Drosophila melanogaster: one gene and its partners. The gene in region 1 interacts genetically with each later gene. Each region holds a gene or a part of one and is shown in the gene's direction. Other genes may lie near its edges.

Region 1 (5,940 bases):
GGCAAACAAGCGATCTAGGCAGATCCAACCAACGGATGGGATTGTAGATCGGCGGTATCCGGATTGCAGATTCGTGTGACTCACCTTCTTTTCTCCTTTGGTTTGCCGCTGGCCGTGAGATTGGTTTTTGGGGCGCCAGGAGATGGGGAGCCAACGGACGAAGATGGTGGGGAGGACGAGAACGAAGAGGAACAGGAGGAGGAGGAGGCGGAGGTGTTGGTGACCACCGCTTGGGACTGCTTCTGTTTCTCGGCCGCCGCTTCGATTGTGTCAATTAATGAAACCATTGTGTCTCCGGATTTCAAAGTGCGGCAGCATTCAAAAGATCTGCCGATGTGGAGGTTCCTGTTTTCCTTATCGCGAGTTTTTCCAGCACTTTTTGAGACTCTTCGTTGTTGTTTTCTATTATTTATCGCTGTTACTTTCGTTGTTTTCCTATGTATGAAAACTATTGTGCGCTTGTATTGGTTTCTGCGTTTGTATTGTTGTCACTACGCACACACACACTCGCACACACTATAACTCTGTTTTCCTGTTAAACCGTTATTATTTAATCACTTTTACACCGTTCACCTCGATTAACTTTGTGTATATCTGATTTTTGAGCCACAAAAAACAAAACACAAGGTTATATTATTATTTCACTGCTGTTGCTGTTGTTGTCGTTGTTATTGTGGTTGTAGTCTCAACTGGCCAATTGCACTTTGCTTTTTTCGATAATTCGGATATTTTTGTTATTGCACCTTGAAGTTCTGCACCGACTTGATGTTGAATTCGCGTTTAAGCATCTCACAAACGCGATTTATCCGCAATATATGCATTTTACACTGCGCCTACAGCATTTTTCCTTTCCACACGAAATCTTAATACGCTTTTATTTTTCCGTTTTCTTTGATTGCTGCTTCGTAAACAGTGTGGCAGCAGGGTGGAAAAATACTGCCAACGAGGTGGGAGCGCTTCGAGTATATACCAGAAATACACAACATATGGAAATAACGGCCTATTGGCTACAGTGAATACAAGATACATTTACATTTTTTTATTTGTGTATTTCGCTATTTGTAAAAAAAGCGAGAATTTAATTGAGAAAACGAGTATCTTTTATTTCTGAAATAAGCACTATGCTGTTTCAACAATATCTCTGTTAATTCCAGACTATCTGGCTGATAAATGTTTCCCAGTCACGATCGATAGTGTGGGGATGGATTGAAGTTAATGACAAGTTTTATTTATTTTGTACGAAGTCACACCTAGCTCTTATCTTATGTACTCCCACCTAAGCCTTGGGCACCACTGAACTGCTATTGGGGGACACCAGCTCATCGCCGCCTCCGTTGTTGCCCACATCCGCCAGCGGATCCGCGTTCTGGCCACCAACTGAACCGGCATCCGTGTCCAAGGCCTCGCTCAAGCCATCATCGTCGTCGTCATCACCGCCAGATTTGTTGTACACGGTGGGGTACTTCTGGAAACAGTCGCGCATCTTGGTGAAGGCATCGTAGCAGTCCGATCCCTTGGGATCGGCGGTGCTGTTCTGGAAGCAGGAAAATGCCTCACGGAAATCGACGCCACAGGGACCGGTGGCCATGCCGCCGAGGCAGGGACAACTCCAGTTGATCTTGCCGTCCTTGGTGATCACGCCCTCCGGCTTTTCCGGCGGCGGCAGCTCGATGGTGCTGGGCGTGGCATGGTCCTCCTTGGTCACAAAAATCACCTTGTCCTTGCCGTACTCCTTGCAGTAAGAGAATGACATCCTGATGCGGTAATGCTAGTTAAATGCTACAAACTCCTCGGGGGATTCCTCAAAATCCAAGGGCTTTCGGGATGTGCTGAGCACCTGAAAATGGCAGGGCACCTCCTGGTAGTATCCTATTAGGGCTATAGCTACGCGAACGCGATCCAGGACGTTCTCGGGCACCCGGAGAATGGAGCGTTTTTGGCTGGAACTAAATTTCACAATTTCCAGTATGGTCTGGCCACCTATTTCGCCAAAAATACTAGCCAAGGAGCTATGGATGCAGCCACAGAAGAATACGGGCGTCAGAGTCACGGAGTCTGGATCACGGAGTTTTCTGGCGATTAAAAACGTGAATTATCTTAATTATATTTGCATGATGCACGTGCGCACGTGGGAAATACGGGGCTTTAAGGAGCGGGGCTGAGTGCCCGGAACTCACATCTTCACGTCCAGATATTGGTAACCACTCATGCTTTGGGTGCAAGTGCCAGTGCCCCTCTTTTTTTGGCGGAATCTTCGGGAAAAGTCGTCCAAAAGTTGCCGGTCAGTGTGTTTTTTTTATGTAATTACTCCCCTTTTTTGCTGTTTCTTTCTGCTTCTCAAACAGCTGTGCGCCGCCAGAGATGCCAGCTCGGCTCACAACGGACATGAGTAGTTATAAAATAGCTAAAATTATAGCCATTTATTAAAACATTTAAATTGTTATTGGAACTACTTAAATGCAATTTTATTAAAATGGTTACAAGTTTATGGGGTTTTTCCGCTTTTTAATCTCATTTAGTAGCCATCACAGAAATCATTTCAGTTCGTTGTGAATGACAAAAAAATCAGATCACAGTAAAATCAGTTAGGATTCAAATTCAAATTCTTCATGACGGTTATAATGTATATTACACTGAGTATTACAATTCGCTAGTCCTAATCATCGGACACAACCGCGACAGTCTTTTCAATGCTCTTCTCAAAGTCCAGCGATGATTTGGATGTTTCCAAGATCTCAAAATGACAGGGTATCTGCTGGTAGTGACCGATGAGCTCAATGGATATGCGGGTCATGTCGTGCAGTTGCTCTGGCACTCGAAAGATAACACGATGTTGCTGGGCGCAGAACTTCACGATCTCCAGTGTGGGTTTCTCCTCGCAGAAGAAACTGTCCAGGGCGTCAAGAACGCAGCTTCGAAACAGAGATGGGGTCAAAGCAACTGCAGTCGGATCCCGAAGTTTACTATTAAATAAATGAATATATTTACTGAATTTAATAACAACCAAGTTTATATTAATGACCGCAGAACATCATTCTACTCACAGTTTGATGTCGAAATAGTAATAGTTCGCCATGGTGATCTTGCGCGTTCCTTTTAAGCGGGATCCTCTGTAGTGATAGAGTTTTGTGCGTTCGGGGCGATTGGCAAACTGATTTTGCAGTGAATTGCGCGCCGCGCAGTCTTTGTCGAAATTCTCTCACGCAAGACGTGCAATTTAAATAACGAAACTCGAAACAACAAATAGTCAAATTTAACTTCGAAACTGTCAAATGGAGAAGCTAACGAATGTTCAGGCACAGCAGGAAGAGGAGGAGGAAGAAGGTCCACTCAGCGTGACTAAGTTAATAGTGAGTAGGCTGCGATCTCGACCAGGATTATTATGGGCATTCCCTACGATATCCTCCTCCTAGGGCGGCAGCATCACGGCCAAGGACATCAAGCTGCTCCAGCAGGCCAGTCTGCACACCGTGGAGTCGGTGGCCAATGCCACCAAGAAGCAACTGATGGCCATTCCCGGCTTGGGCGGCGGCAAGGTGGAGCAGATCATCACGGAGGCTAACAAACTGGTGCCTCTGGGCTTCCTTAGTGCTCGCACCTTCTATCAAATGCGTGCCGATGTCGTGCAGCTGAGCACGGGCTCCAAGGAGCTGGATAAACTGCTGGGCGGCGGCATTGAGACGGGATCCATTACCGAGATCTTTGGCGAGTTCCGCTGCGGAAAGACCCAATTGTGCCACACTCTGGCAGTAACCTGCCAGCTGCCCATCAGCCAGAAGGGCGGCGAGGGCAAGTGCATGTACATCGACACGGAGAACACCTTCCGTCCGGAGCGTTTGGCTGCCATCGCGCAAAGGTACAAACTGAATGAATCCGAGGTGCTGGACAATGTGGCCTTCACCCGTGCCCACAACTCAGATCAGCAGACCAAGCTCATCCAGATGGCGGCGGGCATGCTCTTTGAGTCCAGATACGCTTTGCTGATTGTGGACAGTGCCATGGCGCTCTACAGATCCGATTATATTGGTCGCGGGGAGCTGGCCGCCAGGCAAAACCATTTGGGCTTATTTCTGCGCATGCTTCAACGCCTGGCCGATGAGTTCGGAGTGGCTGTGGTAATTACTAACCAGGTTACTGCCTCGCTGGACGGCGCACCCGGCATGTTTGATGCCAAGAAGCCCATTGGCGGGCACATCATGGCCCACTCCTCAACCACGCGGCTGTATCTGCGCAAGGGTAAAGGCGAAACCCGCATCTGCAAGATCTACGACTCGCCCTGTTTGCCGGAATCGGAGGCCATGTTCGCCATTCTGCCGGATGGAATAGGAGACGCCAGGGAGAGCTAATTGTGCTCACTTATAGGTTAATTAATGCTAGGAATAGAGCTCCCTAACTTTCTAATGATTACTTATCCCTAGACTAAGAATTAAACTTCGTAGATTGTTTTTTTTTTTGTTTTAATGTTTACTTAGAATGTTTAGGATAACGACGAAATAAAACAGCCGTTGCGAATTGTATGTACCATCTATATTTAATTCAATATTATTCAAATCATCTACAAACTTAGAAAATATTTAGGGGTTTCGAAGCAAAAACCTTTTTTTTAGTCTGGTAATAAGCGGATGCAGCAGGAAAAGCCCCATCAGCGCAGCGTAACACGACATGCACCTGGCAGGCAAACAGAATTAAGGAATTTAGCTGAATTTTTAACCTAGAATTAAGCATAGCCCACTTGGCTCATCAAAACTTTGTCATCCAAAGCACGGTCTTTAAGTTGCCTGGTTTGTAACGCTTACGAGTAACTGCAAGAAAGAGGATTCTTGAAGATGTGTTTCAACTCAGCGGTTTGCGGTTTCCCATCCTACCTTATCATGTAATTGGTCCAGCAGAACTGGTCCTCGATCATTTACTGTGGAGCCGATCCGGCTGAAGCGGCGGCCTCCTTGGCCAAAACCAGGCTATTATATCCGCGCTCGTTCATCCCGACGCGAAGGTTTTCGTTGATATTTTTCGTATAGGTCTTGTAGATTTTTACCTTTTCGCAGAAGTCGATCCAAAAGTTGTCCTCGCTCTCGGGCTCCGGATTGAAGAGACTCTTGAAGCCATCGTATATGCCAGAGGAGACCTTGCGTATGGTCTGCGCCCTCTCCTTGAACTCCACCTCGTCGGACAGGTCCATTTTCCAGAGCTCCAGATTGCCCACATACCGGCGAAGTCGGCGCATTATGTCCACGCACTCCGGATTGCGCAGCAGCATCAACTTGGTGAACTCCACCTCCTTGAACTGCTCGAGGATCTCCAGGCATTTGCCCACATTGGCGCGCCGCAGGCCCAAACATTCGCGCAGCTGCTGGGAAAGTTGGATGAAGTCTCGCTCCATGAAGAGGGCATCCTCGTGCTCAATGAGCTCCTCGATGAATCGCAAAGCCTCCTGCTTGGGTATTTCGCTGCGTGTTGGCTCCACCACGATCCTATCGGGCATGGACTCCGGATTGATTTGGCCGCTCTCTAGTTTCAGTTTGAGCTCCAAGGCTTCTTTGCGGGCGTTCTCCATCCAGGCTTCCTCGGCAGCGGCGCTTTCGAAACTCTCCGGCTTTTTGTAGTTTATAACGATTCCCAAACACTTGGCTGTGGGCATGTACACCATGAGCATCTCGTTCCGGATGTTCTGTTTGGGCAAAAATGGAAATCAATGTATCGTAATTCATACTAGTTTATGTCTGGTGGTATTTCTGCATCGCACTTACATTGACTGGCCGCGACCGCTTCTGAATCGGAGTTACTGCAGCCGTGGGCTTGGATTTCTTCACTGATTTCTTGCTGGAGGTGGGGGTCGCCGCAGCCGGAGCAGCGGGGATGGCTGCGGCGGTAGCCAGACCCTCGGTGGGAACCCTTCGCTTGGCCGGCGGAGGTGCTAGTTCCGCGCCTGCTTCACTATCC
Region 2 (7,869 bases), on another chromosome or scaffold:
AACTGCTGGTTCTGCAATGGCAATGTACGAGTTCCGTACCAGGATCGCAACAGTTGGACCTGCCCGTCATGCGAGCAATACAATGGATTCACCAAGGACGGCGACTACAACCGGGATATTACGTCGCAGCGGGACTGCAGCCTTGGCTCCCAAAAGAACAGCTCCAAAGGCAGCTCCAGCATCTGTGCCAACTCATATTATTCCGATGTCCTGACTGCTCAACCTCCTGCTCCCAAAAACGGCCTGTGCGACCAGTGCAACGAGGCGCAGCGCCTGAAGGTCGAGAAGCTCTCTCAATTCGAGCCCAAGAACGAGTCCCGATTCGATCAGGAACTAAAGGTTTACAGGTGAGCTGTCATAACAATAAGCATTATATATACAATGTTATGGTATCTATGTTTACTAAGAATCAAGCAAAGTAATTTAGCTTGATGTGTTTTATAAATGAGTTAATCGTGTTTAAGTCAAGCAAATAAGATATACAACAAACATACAAATGTATGTCTGAATATGATCTAAATACCCGTATCTACATCGGTTTGCAAATCAAAGACAAGTTAACTAGATTAGATAGTTTCTATGAGTAAGCCGATTTATAATTTATATCTATTAATAGAGAACCTTTAATATAAAAGCTGGGGCACAAGTTATTAAATAATAATATTTATGTTTTCCGTAGAGAACGACTGGAGAAGCAGTTTCGCCTGTGTAGCAGCTGCGAACGACATGTGAATAAAGTCCTGCACGAGAAGAAGAAAATGGTGTTGAGCTCCAAGTTCTTGAACTATATCATCAAGGGAGCATCGTTGCTCAAGCAGCCGCACTTCAACCGATTGGCCGCTGCCCAAAAGCAGTTTAAACTGCAGCGATACCGCATTCTGATGACCATCCTGACTGTAGTCAATATTTTGTGCCTGCTCTGCCGGCTGCCGAATGCAACTTCCATTCAGTTTACGACTTACCTTGGAAAATTCATTGGGCTAACCTTGTTCTACGCCTACTCCCACGTGCTGGCCTTAATTCGAGTGGTGACTTCGAGCGTAGGCATTTTCCTGGAACAGCGCGAAATGATAGCCAAACTTTTATTGTATGGCCGTACCTTTGGCAAGCTCTTGCTGTATTCGCTTGGCATAGGCCAACAGCAAGTGCAGCAAGCAACCTTCGCATCCTGTTTTATTGGGATCTACCCATATGCCATGCTGGCCCTGTGTTTCCTGCACACGATATACGACGGATTGAAATTTACGCGATTCACCATTGCTCTATTGTTATGGAGTGGGTATGCCATGGGTATCGAATTCCTGGATCCTTACATCAGTGGAATATCCTTTATAGTAAGTGCATTTACTTATATTTGAATCTTATTTAACAAATTCTTTAAACAGCTGGTGGGAAGTTTTGTAACCCTTGTTTTGTTGGCCACCAACCGGACCAATCTGTTGAGCCAAGTGAATCGGGACGAGTCTGCCTGTGAGAGCTTCCATCGCCTCTGTGCGGACGAATGCGATGATGAAACGCTGAGCATGCTCAGTCAGCAGTTAAGTGGATACAGTGATATCAGCAATAGCAATTTGTCCATGCGAACCGCCTCTGTGTGCCACTCACCCGCCCCAACGATTTCCCAGCGAACAATTCAGGCGCCTGCTTCTTTGCTGTCCCTGGACTCGTTGCATCTGTCGAAGCAACGGATGGAACAGCAGGCTTGGTCCTCGAACTATGGAGATGCCTCTACAGTGGTTGCCCCGCGTGTCCAGCCGGCGATGATGTTTCAACAGAAACCCATGAGACCATTAGAGTCCCAATGGTATCGCCATGGACAAAGTAACCTGGCCCAAGGCAATACTTTCACTAGATCCACGCAAAATCTTTTGATGCCATCGCGTTTGCCGTCCATAAACAGGAACGTCGGCGGAGCTGATGTAAGCGCCTGGGTGGCGGCCAATCAAAGTGTGAACCAAGATCTATGCACTGCCAATCTAATGAGACATTACGAAGAGAAACAGCAGAATCAACTTTCCCGCACTTCGTCACAATCTTCTGGATTTGAGTCGCAGCCACGTCCAGAAGCCCAATGCGGAACAGGTGCTGCAACTGTAAGGGACTACGGCTGGTCCGAAGCCCGTGAGAGTCAGCGAAATTTCGCAGTTTTTCCGCCAATGCCGTCACCTACACCCACAATAACGCCTAGTGAATATCAATACTCGAGGACTGCTCTTCCGCAGCAACAGCCAACTATGCAGCCGGGGGATTTACTTAGGAAGTGGATTGAGATTAACTCAAAATCCTCACAGCCAATACACTAATGTGATGTGAGGTCATAAATATCTAGAAAAACTTAGAAAAAATTCTGGAAAAGATCACCGCCAGTTGGGAAATTATATAAATTTGACTTAACTTAATTATCAAATAATTTATTTTTGACTTACAGTTTTTAAGCTTCTTTATTCTACTAAAGGTTAGTCCTCCCTTTACTTATAATCGACTAAATAAGTAGTGTTTAGCTAGACATTCTTTAATCTGTGTAGCTCTAAGTTTCGTGGTTTTCAATATAGAACTTTTCAGGGAATTGAAAGTCAGGGAGTAAGATTAGAAGGTAATATAAATACTACTTGATTTTAAAGGGAGAATAAAGCTTTGGTAACTAAGTTATTTATTCATTGAAGACAATCATTCAAAGTTTGTTTTTATCGTTAACTAAACTTTTGTGACTCACATAAACTAGATAAATTGTTTATTATACAAATACATATTTTTTGAAATAAAAGCAAAACAAAAAAATGGTTATTATTTTGTTAAGTTAAGTGCAGTTATAAGAAAATATTCATTATCAAGTTAAATTCAATAATAACAGTGACCTGTCTTTTTGGTTGTTTTTCTCTTTTAAAAAATGTTATATTGTTCTCTTAGATTTCAGAACACGCTCTCTTAGTGCAGTGCTGCCAGTTGGTTAACGGCGCGGTGTAGAAATCAAAGTGGCCGTTTCCAAAGTCGGCACGGCACTTCAAAAATTCATACATTTGCCCCTGAAAGTATGTTGTTTATGTTGTTGTTAATATTGAACAAATATATTATGAATTTAAATTATCTTAATAAACAATTATGTATATAAGGTTGTGTAGCCTCTAACCATTCTCGAATGTAAAATTTAGCTGGTTATTTCAAATTACACATTAATCAATCAGTCTGTGGGCGCGGTTTTTAGATGACAGCTTGCTGTATATTTAGTATATAAGTAGTAACAGGAGAAAAAGTTTAGTATTTTTGAATACCGTCCAGCTGGCAACACTGCTACAATATGGCTGCCGTATCGTAATGTGAATTTTTTTGAGAGACCGAGACGTACATACTTTTGTTGCTGCCAAAGTGGATGTGGACGGAGGAAAATAGTAATATTTAACTGCGTTGCGGGAGCGGGACAATCGTCGTTTGCCAATTGCGGCCACCGCTTATGTCGGCTAATCGGCTATCAATAATATTAGTAATCGTATCAATATCAAGTTACCCATTACCCATCGCGGATACACATTAGTTTTGCGAAGGGCAGAGCAGCGCAGAGCATATAGCGAATATTTCCATTTGTTGCCAACAAGACTGTCGTTGTTGTTGTTATTATTGTGGCTTTTCAGTGACTGGGGAGAGCAGTGGGGGTGCGTTCGTAATCCTTGTGAAAAATCGGTGACCGTTCTTCTTAAAAAAAAAGCGAAAGAAAAAACCATCGCGATAAGAAAATATAAGAAAGAAAAATCTGATTGAAAACCAAAGAGCTGCTGCTACTGCTGCTGTGCGAGTGAGAGCGGTCGAGAGGTAGCTAGTGAGCGAGTGAGAAAGCTATGTATTGCATTTGCATTTCGTTGTGTGTGTCGTCGTTTTCGTTCGGTAAAAGTCGGTAAAAAGCAGAGCCTTTCCAAACCTAACCACTTTCGGGTAAACGGAATCGGAAAAGGAACTGGGAAAATCGAAAGAAATTAAATAATAATATGCGTTACATCGATGGCAACAACAACAACAACAGCAGCGACCATCAGCTAGCGACTCCTCTCTGAGCGAGAGAGCTAATAGCTTTTCAGCTTTAGCTTTTCTTGGGCCAATCGGAAATTGTATTTCATTGGTAAGTACAAGAAGTGGCAGCACCATAACCAGCAAATCAATACTTGGGCTGCCATTCCGTTTCGTTCCGTTCGTCAGTTTTCCTAGCCCATTCGTTGGCGCTCTCTCTTTTCCGTCAGTCTCTCTCTTTCTCTTCCCCAAAAGAGAGCGAAAACCCCCCGCCCGCCCACACTCGGTGTATGTGTGCTTTGTAATAACGAGTACACTTTTCTGCACATACGAAAAAGAAGGAAAAAAGAATAATAAAATAAGAAGAAAAAATGAAAGACCGAATAAAGAAATTCACATAAACTTATGGCACTCTCCCTCGCGCTCTCTTCATTTGCAACTAGTGTGCGTGCTTAAATTTTTAAAAAACAGTTGTTTTCACCGAAAGGGAATTTTCATTTCGATGGTATATTTTTAGCCAGCAAGCTCCTTTCGGAAATTATTTATAACCCCCCTCGAAATGTTTCCACGCAACGATTTACGCGATAAACTTTTACAAAATCAGATATAAGTAAGTGCAAAGACCACTTGATTTTCGTATAGTATGTAAGTCCACGAATTGCTTACGTATTTATGAAATATTACTGTGCGTAGGTCGGTGGGCGTGTTTCAACGTTTTAGCCCACAGTTTTCACTCATTTTCCTGCGGGGTTTCCGCTTGTGACAAAGGCATTCAAAGAACCAACAAGAAAATCCCGGGGGCGTGGCACCACCCATGCAATTAAATTAGACCAAAAAAGTGCTTACACTTTGTATTCTAGAGAATGTTTCAAATCATTGAACATAAACAGAAGAATTCATGCGAATTTAGAACTAATGGAAATTGGGAGCAAGGATACATAAAGTTGGAGGAATTCAAAAATGTAATTGTTTAAAATTTAAGCGTTAGTAACCAAGTTCTTGTTAAAATATATGCCGCTTAATTAAGTTTAAATCTGTTATTCACAAGTAAAATTATATTTATTATTAATTTCTCTTAATTTGGATATTAAAAAACCTCATTTTGTAGATTGCAAGAGTACGAAATCAAGAAGACGTACATATTTGTTGTTAAGAATCCGTTCCTAATATAAGTAAATTGCTAGAACAATGGATGAATTTTCGGAGAATATAGAAAGAATTGCCCTCGAGTTGCTGAGCAACTTGGTTCATGGCAATGCCACTCTTAGTGTTCCCCGAAATTCATCCGGAAACGTGATCTCGGAATATCGACGAGTCAGCTATAATAATCGCGGAAGTCGCCATAGCTTTTGCGTGCTGATTTACATGCTCTCCCGGGTGCACCGATTGCAAGTCCGCGGAGGAAGTTTCACCGTCCGTGGACTATACTATGACAATCCTCTGCTAGTCCGGTCGCAGTCCAGGATTGCCGAAGCCAGGCTAGATGTCTGTCGTATGCTGAGGACATCCCCCCTAAGCTTGGGCATACTGGCCGCCTCCAAGGGCCTGGTGGCAGGTGAGTTTATCTCGAAATCCTGATCAAAGGCTCCCTGCTCATCCGGTTACTCTTGCAGGCGACTTAAGGCTGCTGATGACCAACGGAGACGTTCTGGACAGCAGCTTGTATGGTGGACCTCTGACATTGCCCACGGATCCCGAGAAGATAGATCGAATCGAAACGCTGGCGGAATTTGTGCTAATCGTTGAAAAGGAGTCGGTTTTTGAGAGTCTCTTATCCAGAAATGTATTTGGTACTTTTGAACGACGCTTCATCCTTATAACTGGAAAAGGATACCCCGATTGCTGTACCCGGAGGATTGTCCATCGGCTCACCGAGGAGAACCAACTGGCGGCCTACATTCTCGTTGACGCCGATCCATTTGGCGTCGAGATAATGCTAGTCTATCGCCATGGCTCGAAGTCCATGAGTTTTTCCAGCCAAGGACTAACCACACCTGCGCTGCGTTGGATTGGTCTACACCCCTCGGAGATTCCCGCACTCGGCACTGGAGCGGTTGCCCTGGTTGCCGGCGACAACAAGAAAATCAATGACCTCCTCGCCCGCCACGATTTGGAGCCGGGAGTGCGGCAGGAACTGCGCATGCTGCAGGACGTTCAGCTGAAGGCCGAAATCGAGAGTGTCATCGACTTCCTGACCGACGACTATATACCAAATAAAATCAATCGGAACTTGTTTTTGTAGAGTTCAGTGGTAAACCCCATAAGCCAAATATTATTACTCTTGAAATATTATTAGTTAGTTTAAAATATGTTGTAGGTATAGTAATATAGTAATTAGTTTGTAAAAAACGTATCTCTATAAAGATACCATAAGACTCCTAAAAATAGTACTGTAAAAGTTAGTTCGCGTAATCAGCTTTCCATTAATATTTGAATTAATTAAGATAGTAATTTAATAATTAAATTCCCCATTCATTGGGATTCCGATTTTGTTGCTTATGTTATAAAATGTAATGTTTAATTTCAATGCAGCTTTAATAACGTCAATATAATATTACGACTAATTAATATTAAAGTACCTTAAGATCCTTGCCTTTAGAAAACATAATTTTAATATTTGGATAACGGATAATAGTAATTTACACTCGTAATGTCTGAGTAATCTGCTTCTAGTGTTTCGTATTGAGTGGTCAACTTGATTTTCTGCATTACTTTGTGTGGACGAAGCCAGTAAACTCAAGCAGACAAAGGAGATTATTTTTTTTATTGTGCCTCTAAAGTGTTATGGCTTGAGGTCGGTAATCGGAGCCGGTAATTGGCTACGTTTTTGATAATGGCAAGTGAATGGCCAGTCATATTATAGGTGCCGAAAGATACAAGTAGTCTGCTTTGTTTAGATCCATACTAATTGCGTGCATTTATTTCTTGCAGATGTGAAGGAGTACCACGGATGATAGAAACCCATTGGGCATTTGACTACTTTTAAGCACCGAAACCTGAAAGACTCCCGAAAATACTCGAATCTCACGTGCAGAATCTCTAAGAATCCCTATTGGACTGTTTAAAAATATGTCGACAGCAATGCGCACCACACTGCAGTCAGTTCCTGAGGCCCTGCCAGCGGATAGCGTGTCCAATGGCACAGCATCCAATGTAGCAGCACCGGCGGCGCCAGTATCGAGCGCAACAAACGCGGTGCCACCACTGGCCGCCGTCTCCAGCACAACCGCCACCTACGCCACCAACTCGATCAGCACATCCTCGCATTCGGTCAAGGATCAGCAGCAGCAACAGCAGCAGCAGCAGCATGATTCGGCCAATGCAAACATTGTGTCACTGCCACCAACGACAACGCCAGTCGCCAACACTAACACAATGATGCCCATTGTAACGTCCTCGAATTCGGCCACCAGCAATAGCACTGCGGCCACGCCCACGCCGGCCTCGGGGGCGGCAGCGACAGGTGGAGTGGGATCTGTTTCCCAGGGTCCAGCGACCGTTTCGGCGTCAGCGGCCAACACCAATCACTCGCACCAGCACAGCCACCAACACCACCACCATGTGGCCAACAACATGACCACCGACGGTGCCCGCTTGTCCAGCAACAATTCGGCGGTGGTGGCGAGCTCAGCGATTAACCACCACCATCACCACACCCCCGGCAGTGGAGTGGCGCCCACCGTCAACAAGAACGTGCTTAGCACCCACTCGGCTCATCCCTCCGCGATCAAGCAACGAACCTCGTCCGCCAAGGTGAGTCCTTCTTTGGGTTTCGTCAGTGTCCGTACCTATCACCCGTCCCCACGTCCCCTAGTCCGTTTTTTTGGGGGCCTTGTTCATCAACCCATCTCTTGTTTGCTCCTGCAATGTGGC
Region 3 (6,954 bases), about 14 Mb from region 1:
TACTTTACTATTCCGATTTTGATTACACAAATTATAGGCAATAACTTCCATTTGCTGGTCAGTTATTAGAAACAGATATTATTTATGAAAGTTACTTGCAGTTTTATCCACGTTAATTTTGTAAAAAGAATTTACATAAATTAATTAAAACAGAAAGGCTTACAAATTCAAATAATTTATTTAGTGGTTAATGAATTTAATTAATTGTGACACGTTGGCAGTGATACTGCAAATTAGGACCACGCTGCGAGTAAAACTTAATTGAAGGGTATTTTTACCCGTCGTAGAAGCAAAACAAGATACCAGATATTGTGGATAGCTGTTTATTGTCCAGGTCCAGCCAGACTCTTCTCCATGAACTTTTTCTTCGCGAAGCAGGTCCACCATTTATTGGGCTTGCCATCCTCGGTGTTGAAGACCTTCTCCAGTACCCGGTTGCCGGTTTCGTGGCGCAGCTGCAGCAGGTACTGGCGCATCAGATCCGCATCCTGGGCCGTTTGCGGCTTGGCATAGACGGCGTTCAATGGGAAGCCAGCATCGCCGGGAATGTCGAACTTGGAGATGGCCAGGCTGTACATGTCCTGCTGTCCCTGGGCCTTGCTCGTGGAGCGATTGAGCTTCTTGAGGCACTCTGTTATGTAGAGCGTCACATAGATGAGCACGCGATCCACGTCGGACTGAAAATGGTAAAACATAGTTTGTGAATTCAAGTAGCAAGTAGCATAAGGATTCAATATGACCATCACGTGACCAGGTAATGGTTCTGAATCCCGGATTACGGCCTCACCTTGATTTCGTACGTGCGAAAGAAGACATTGGCTTTGAAGTAGTACAGTGACTCATCAATGATGTCGCTCTCAATATTCGCACTGGGCGCTGGCCCGCGCACCTGCGTCCTCAGCGGCAGGATGGCCATGTTGCCCACCTGCTGGCGCACTTCCTTGATCTGCGAGTGGTAGGCCTGAAAGCATAGTTAATTTACAAGATTGCCTTTTCCCTTGGAAATTTTTATGCTTGGCAGGGGGTCACGAAAGCAGGTGAAAAGAACTGGGAATATCTCAACGCCAACTCGTTTGCCTTTGATGCGCAAGTATCCACTAACCGGCATGTTGAATTGTATTTTAAATTAATTATTTAAATTAACGTTGAAAACGTTATTTTTTCGATGTTAAATATTGTTTTTAATTATAGGCGTCCACTGTTTACAAATTTTGCAGCTCTAATTTATCGACAAGACCGATAAGTCGCGACCGAAATGGTCACACTGAGCTAAATTTTTAAAATTGTGGACAATTCCATTAAATACTACAAGTTTTTTAGTTCGTTATTAATATTTTTTTATAAATTGTTGTACATCAACCAATTTAAATATGTTTGACAGTTCCAGATTTTCTGTCAGAAATCGAATCGAAACATCGAATGCTAAACAAATCAAGTTTGTGTTAAATGTTTAAAATTTTTAATGTTTGCGCCATCCACAAAGGAATTTGATTGTGACTTCGCTCTTTATGGATGAAAGTAAAAAATTCCTCCAGAACGTTGCCCATATCGCTGGCAAATTGGATCTCAACCACTTGGAAAGAACCACGATGGCCTACAAACGTTTATGTCTGGAACTAGAGTCCATGAGCAATGAGGTGACTCCAGCCGTTACTCCTCCGACTTCGGCTTCTGCTTCTCCGCCGACCGCGGTCTCCCCTAATGGACTCCGAGCAAGTGCCTCAGAATTCGTGCCCCAGGTGCCGGTGACCAGTGACCGGATTCCCATTGAAATGGACAATGATGAACAGGATGATGATTCGGATGACGATGGCTACGATGAGGAGCGCAAGAGAGCTGTGAGTATTGGAGATTTGGAGATATGTCTCAGTTTCTAACCATCAACACTATCTATAACACAAAATATTAATTTATCTAAAGATAAATCTACCTAATTTAGCCAAAGCCCGCAATATACGGCATCCGGTTTTATAACCATCATTACGAGTCCGACGACGTGAGCGAAAATCACTTGCAGGCGGAAAAGAAGCGAAAGTTGGGCTATAGGACTCCAAAGTTTCGGCCAAACCAGCCGACTTGCCGGTCCCCAAAGTCGGAAACGGACTTTATTCCCACTGCTAAGCCTCCGCCGGAATTGGCCAATGGACAGCCGCATTTCAATGGACCCTACATGCCGCTTCTGCAGCACCGAATCGCCAACGCAGAGGCCTACGGGCTCATCCAGGGTTCCGACGAGCGGAACAGCCTGCTCCTGGATGACATGGTTAAGCAACTGGCCCGCCTGGACAACTGTCCCGTCAATCTGAGTTCACTTTTCCCGAAAAAAGGTGACCAGAAACCAGAACCCTAGATCGCTCTGAATGTTCTGTAAAAAACTATGAGTTTCTTATTAAAAGGAGGCTTTGACTTAGTATTCGATCTGCTATTCAGTTTTATCATTGGTTGCATACGGTCTCTAAAACTTTTCAGCAGAGAACAAAATGGTAAAAAAAAAAATAAATAAATACAAAGCTGTAGATAACCAAAAAAAAAGGCGATAGCTGTCAATTTCTAAGGCTAGTTAGTTAGTAAGCCCTAATTTCCCTTACAGATTCCAGCTAAAACCGAGACGGAAGCTCCGTGCATTAAAGATCCCAAGGAGATTGAAGCAAAACCTGCTGAAAACATGGAAATTATTCATAAAACGATCGTGGAGGATAAAAAGCACAAAGATCCCAAGGAGATTGAAGCAAAACCTGCTGAAGCCATGGAAAGTGCTGCTAAAATGTTCGTGAAGGATAAAAAGCATATGGAGCAAATGTTGGCTCTTTCCACGATTCCACTGCGCATGGACCAACAAATCCAGTGCATCAAGACAATTCAGCAGGAGCTGCTTAAGCTTCACCTGAAGCAGGTGATGCTCCTCGACGGCTGCACCGAATTACTACATGAACTAAAGGCCGTGCAGCCCACTGATGAGAACGAGGAGATAAAAGTGTTGGAAACATTTCGTGAGGTCAAGTCGAAGCTATCGGGTGTATTTGAACACTACCTTCCCGCCCAGCTGAGCATACTGAAGCAAGAATCGAAGATATCACAAGTGTCCGCCGAAATAATTCCAAAATAATTTTATTACATCGATTTATAAGTTTAAATATAAAATCGTTAAGGGTTCAATATCTTAGCCAAAGATCGTTATCGATATTTCATGTCATTTGTAATATAGGTATCATCTCTATTTAAAAGCGGGCAAATTTGTAAACTTTCCCCAGCTGAAATGAATCCAACGCTTTCCCGGGGGGGCGCCCCATCGCGATTTGTGCGTGGTCGTGGTCGCGGAGGCGGAGCCTACCGTCCGTACTTCTACTTTCGGCGCAATGGACGTGTGATCCCAGCCGGAGGCAATCGACAACCCAACCAAGGGGAACCTGGAGCACCAGACGCTCCTTCTGTTCCGCCTGCAACTCGGCAACCCAGGGGCTGGAGCCGCACAGCCGGCAAGCGAGGACGCAATGCTCACTTGGACTGCAGCTTTCTGCGGCCGGAAAACTATGCCGCACCAGAAGACGGGCTCCAGGTGCAGAGCATTGCGGTGGATAATCCACGGGCTTATTCCGGCTGGCGACTGTACTTCTTGCGCGAGAAATACGAGGAGGGCAACGAACTGGCCACAAGGATAATGGCCGTGGAGGCATACTACCAACGTAATCCTCACACCTTCGATTTTGTGATGATACGGGATCGGGGATTCTTCCCCCTCTGCGCAGCAGGCATCAAATCAGATGCCCAGCTAAAGGAGGTTTGGCCTAGTTTGTCCGAAGACATCCGTGAGCACCCGCTTCGCACGCTAGGAACCCTGTCGTTGGCTATGCACACTGTGGTCGTCAATCACCAGCTGGACTGTAATGATTCCACCACAGCTATGGTGTCCACTCCGGAACAGTACGTCCTTCCAACCCCACGGGTACGCAAGATCTACGCACGACCGGATGATTTTGTGCCTGTGGAATCAATAGAAGGAATAAGCCATTCCCGAGTGGACACTTTGTTTTCCATCCGGGGTTTTGTGAGCAATGTGGGCGAGCCTAGCTACAGCCTCACGTGGCAAGCCTTTCGCTGCAGTCGCTGCCAGATGGAGATTGCCATGCGCCAACGGGGAACCTTCCAGCCACGTCCTTATCAATGCAAGCGGTCGGAGTGTGTGGCTCGTGACGAATTCGTGCCTCTTCGCAGTTCCCCATACACCAGGCTTTCAATCCGACAGATTATCCGCGTGGAGGAGTCCAGTTTGAACTTGGTCCACGACTTTGAGACCAGCATGCCTGCTGAAATGGACGTGGAGCTGCGACATGATCTAGTTGATGCTGTGCGTGTCGGACAGGAGGTCGTGGTAACTGGCATCCTTAAGCTGCAGGAATTGGGCGACGATACCACCACTGGAGACACCTCCAACCAGATGCAGCCCTATCTCAAGGCAGTCAGCATTCGCGATGCGAGCAGCATCAAGCGGGAGTTCAGCGAACGTGACTTGGAAGCGATTGTCATGATCAATGCGGAACCCAACAGCTTTAAGCTACTGGTGCAATCCATTGCCCCGGAGGTATACGGACATGAGCTACCCAAAGCCGCCTGTTTACTATCCCTTCTCGGCGGGAAAGGTGCGGAGACTGAAGCCATCAACGTGCTCCTGGTGGGTGATCCCGGAATTGGAAAGACCAAGATTCTGCAAAGTTGTGCTCAGATCGCTGAACGTGGTGCCCACGTGAGTGGAAAACGTGGGGCTCAATCCGCACAGCAACTGGGTGTTACGTTTGCTGGGCGTAACAAGCGTGTGCTACAAGCGGGTTCCTTGATGATGGCCAGTGGAGGCGGTCACTGCACCCTCGATGATGTGGATAAACTTGCCTCCAAGCAGGCCGTACTGTTGCAGTGCCTACAATCAGAGGAAGTAAATCTTCCACTTGCAGGAGCATTTGCCTCATTCCCGGCGCAACCTTCGGTGATAGCGTGCGCAAATCCACAAAGAGGACAATACGATGAGGGGCGCTACCTTCTACAGAATATTAATATTTCACCCTCTTTGCTGCGGGAGTTCCATTTGGTTTACATATTATTGGACAAGCCCTCGGAGAGAGATATGTCGCTGACTGCCCACGTAAGGGCTCTCCATGCGGGCGCTAGGAAACGAGCGAGAATTGCAGCCCGCTATGCTCTTAAGCCCAAAATGAGCGACTCCATGTGCGAGGTCAGCCTTAATGTGCCGGCAGCGGGAAAAGATGATGACACAATCAAAACGGAGGACGATAATGACAGCATTATGCAGCAGGATTATGATCTTGACAAACGTCTGGAGGTACTTCCGGAGGAGGGGGACTTGGACCTGCTCCCACCCATACTGATTAAGAAGTTCTTGTCCTATGCTCGCCAGGAATTAAATCCGGTCCTAAACGAGGACGCCAGCAATGCTGTTCTGCGTTACTTCCTTGAGCTCAAAGGAAGCTGCAATCTCGATGAAGACGTTTCCAGCCAGATTGGCGCAGGGTAAGTGAAATTTTTTGGTGACGGATTTAATTAAGTTATGTCTTTTATTCTAGTTATAAGTAATCTTTAAGTTAGGACATTGGGCTACCTCATAAGCTTGAGGAAGGAGGAGACGGGAAGCTCCAGAAAGATGGCCAGCAAGAAGGAGCAGAGATAGGACACGGTCACCGTAAAAAAGATGAAAGCAAACTGTAGATAAGATGAGAACAATTTGAGTTACATAAAATCCAATTCCTATTGAATGCCAGAAGTGAGCTCACCATCATGCCCGTGCCAAAATAAATGGGCTCCCGCACTGTGGCCAAGACGATTCTCGCCACAAGAAGGTGGACGATAAAGGCTCCATAAGTGAGGCGTCCCAAAATGCGGAAAATGGGCAAGCAGCAGAACTTACGGAAAATCCCTGTGAAAGAACAGTAAGATTTGCCAAGGATATACCAAGCATATCTCGCAGTTGATACTTACATCCCACTTTGCTGGCCATGCCCACGATGAAGATTCCCAGCCCGAAGCCCCAGATGTTTCGCTGCAGGCCGGCATATAATGCTCCCCAAATGGCCGACGGCGTCACGTAGTAGTGCTGGAAGATGGGATGAGCACTAAACAGCCATAGAATCCCCACTGGAATAAGTGTAAACCAAAGAAGCTGGAAGCTCTTTAACTCCCGTAGTTTGTATTGCTTCAATGCCAACTGATCGTAAACCAAAGCGGCCAGGACTCCACAGAAATAGCTACCGAAGTTCATAAAGGACGACGTGTAGAATTCGGTGAATTGACGATCTCCGATAAAGGAATCCTTCTGGGTTCTGTTTGGTAGATGGGTAGAATGATTGTAATCAAGTAGTAAAGTTTTTAAGTCCGATCACTTACTGTGGCGTGGGTACAAAAATGGGATAGTAGTTCATGGCATATGTGAGCACCATTGGCACCACCACAAAAAGACCCAAAATGCCCGCATAGAGCTGTTTGCTCCATCTGACGAACCGGTGACCCAGCATCAGCAGCACCAAGCTGAGCACAAAGGAATGAGTATCCGCTGCCAAATACCAACCTTGGAGCAGGCACTGCATCCCGAATGGAATTTTGAGTGGATTAGATGATAAATTAGATAAAGCACTCATTACTTACCCGCTCATCCGTGCGTACAAAGTTGTTGACGTAGAGCAGATTGGTCCACCAGTTGCGTCGACAAGCCAACTGCTCCCGCTCAAAGATGTGCCGCCACAGTGGACCTCCAGCGTTCTCAAAGTAAACGCCACTCATGAGCAATACAAAGGCATATGGAACCGTCAGTCGGATGTATCGGAAGATGTTAAACTTGACAAATAGCAAAGCATACTGGCCGAAGCTCCAGGTGTCCTTTTTAGATTCTAGCGAACGTGAAACGGCCAGCCAGTTAATGGTAAGCAACAAACCACTGATCACAAAAAAGGT

Evidence for each region. Genes that interact genetically often act in the same process or in processes that back each other up.
Region 2: of spn-A (region 1) and mei-W68, changing one suppresses a phenotype caused by changing the other (phenotypic suppression), as found in Drosophila melanogaster (2 studies listed by BioGRID).
Region 3: of spn-A (region 1) and rec, changing one suppresses a phenotype caused by changing the other (phenotypic suppression), as found in Drosophila melanogaster (one study listed by BioGRID).

What each region holds. Positions count from the first base shown.
Region 1 is NT_033777.3:30,053,272-30,059,211, reverse strand, and holds spn-A (spindle A), read left to right. Parts: upstream 1-3,174; 5' UTR 3,175-3,272; coding exon 3,273-3,350; exon of another isoform or gene 3,351-3,413; coding exon 3,414-4,346; 3' UTR 4,347-4,516; downstream 4,517-5,940. Other genes in the region: CG7950 (uncharacterized protein), read right to left, coding at 1,277-1,753; Rpp14a (ribonuclease P/MRP subunit p14 a), read right to left, coding at 1,769-2,072, 2,178-2,209; Rpp14b (ribonuclease P/MRP subunit p14 b), read right to left, coding at 2,657-2,963, 3,045-3,076; Jasper (JIL-1 anchoring and stabilizing protein), read right to left, coding at 4,907-5,668, 5,748-5,940. UniProt on the Drosophila melanogaster protein: Plays an important role in homologous strand exchange, a key step in DNA repair through homologous recombination (HR). Binds to single and double-stranded DNA and exhibits DNA-dependent ATPase activity. Underwinds duplex DNA.
Region 2 is NT_033778.4:19,452,868-19,460,736, forward strand, and holds mei-W68 (meiotic W68), read left to right. Parts: upstream 1-3,302; 5' UTR 3,303-4,108; intron 4,109-5,104; 5' UTR 5,105-5,184; coding exon 5,185-5,551; intron 5,552-5,609; coding exon 5,610-6,238; 3' UTR 6,239-6,656; downstream 6,657-7,869. Other genes in the region: CG7744 (uncharacterized protein), read left to right, coding at 1-347, 680-1,334, 1,386-2,303. UniProt on the Drosophila melanogaster protein: Required for meiotic recombination. Together with mei-P22, mediates DNA cleavage that forms the double-strand breaks (DSB) that initiate meiotic recombination.
Region 3 is NT_033777.3:15,828,920-15,835,873, reverse strand, and holds the start of rec (recombination-defective), read left to right. Parts: upstream 1-3,241; 5' UTR 3,242-3,256; coding exon 3,257-5,520; intron 5,521-5,552; exon of another isoform or gene 5,553-5,604; coding exon of another isoform or gene 5,605-5,709; intron 5,710-5,780; coding exon of another isoform or gene 5,781-5,923; intron 5,924-5,985; coding exon of another isoform or gene 5,986-6,326; intron 6,327-6,390; coding exon of another isoform or gene 6,391-6,584; intron 6,585-6,648; coding exon of another isoform or gene 6,649-6,954. Other genes in the region: Arpc3A (Actin-related protein 2/3 complex, subunit 3A), read right to left, coding at 324-677, 788-961, 1,103-1,108; CG43317 (uncharacterized protein), read left to right, coding at 1,509-1,838, 1,940-2,350; CG43318 (uncharacterized protein), read left to right, coding at 2,481-2,483, 2,591-3,106; CG4576 (uncharacterized protein), read right to left, coding at 5,605-5,709, 5,781-5,923, 5,986-6,326, 6,391-6,584, 6,649-6,954. UniProt on the Drosophila melanogaster protein: Required for meiotic DNA recombination in females. Probably not involved in DNA repair and recombination in somatic cells.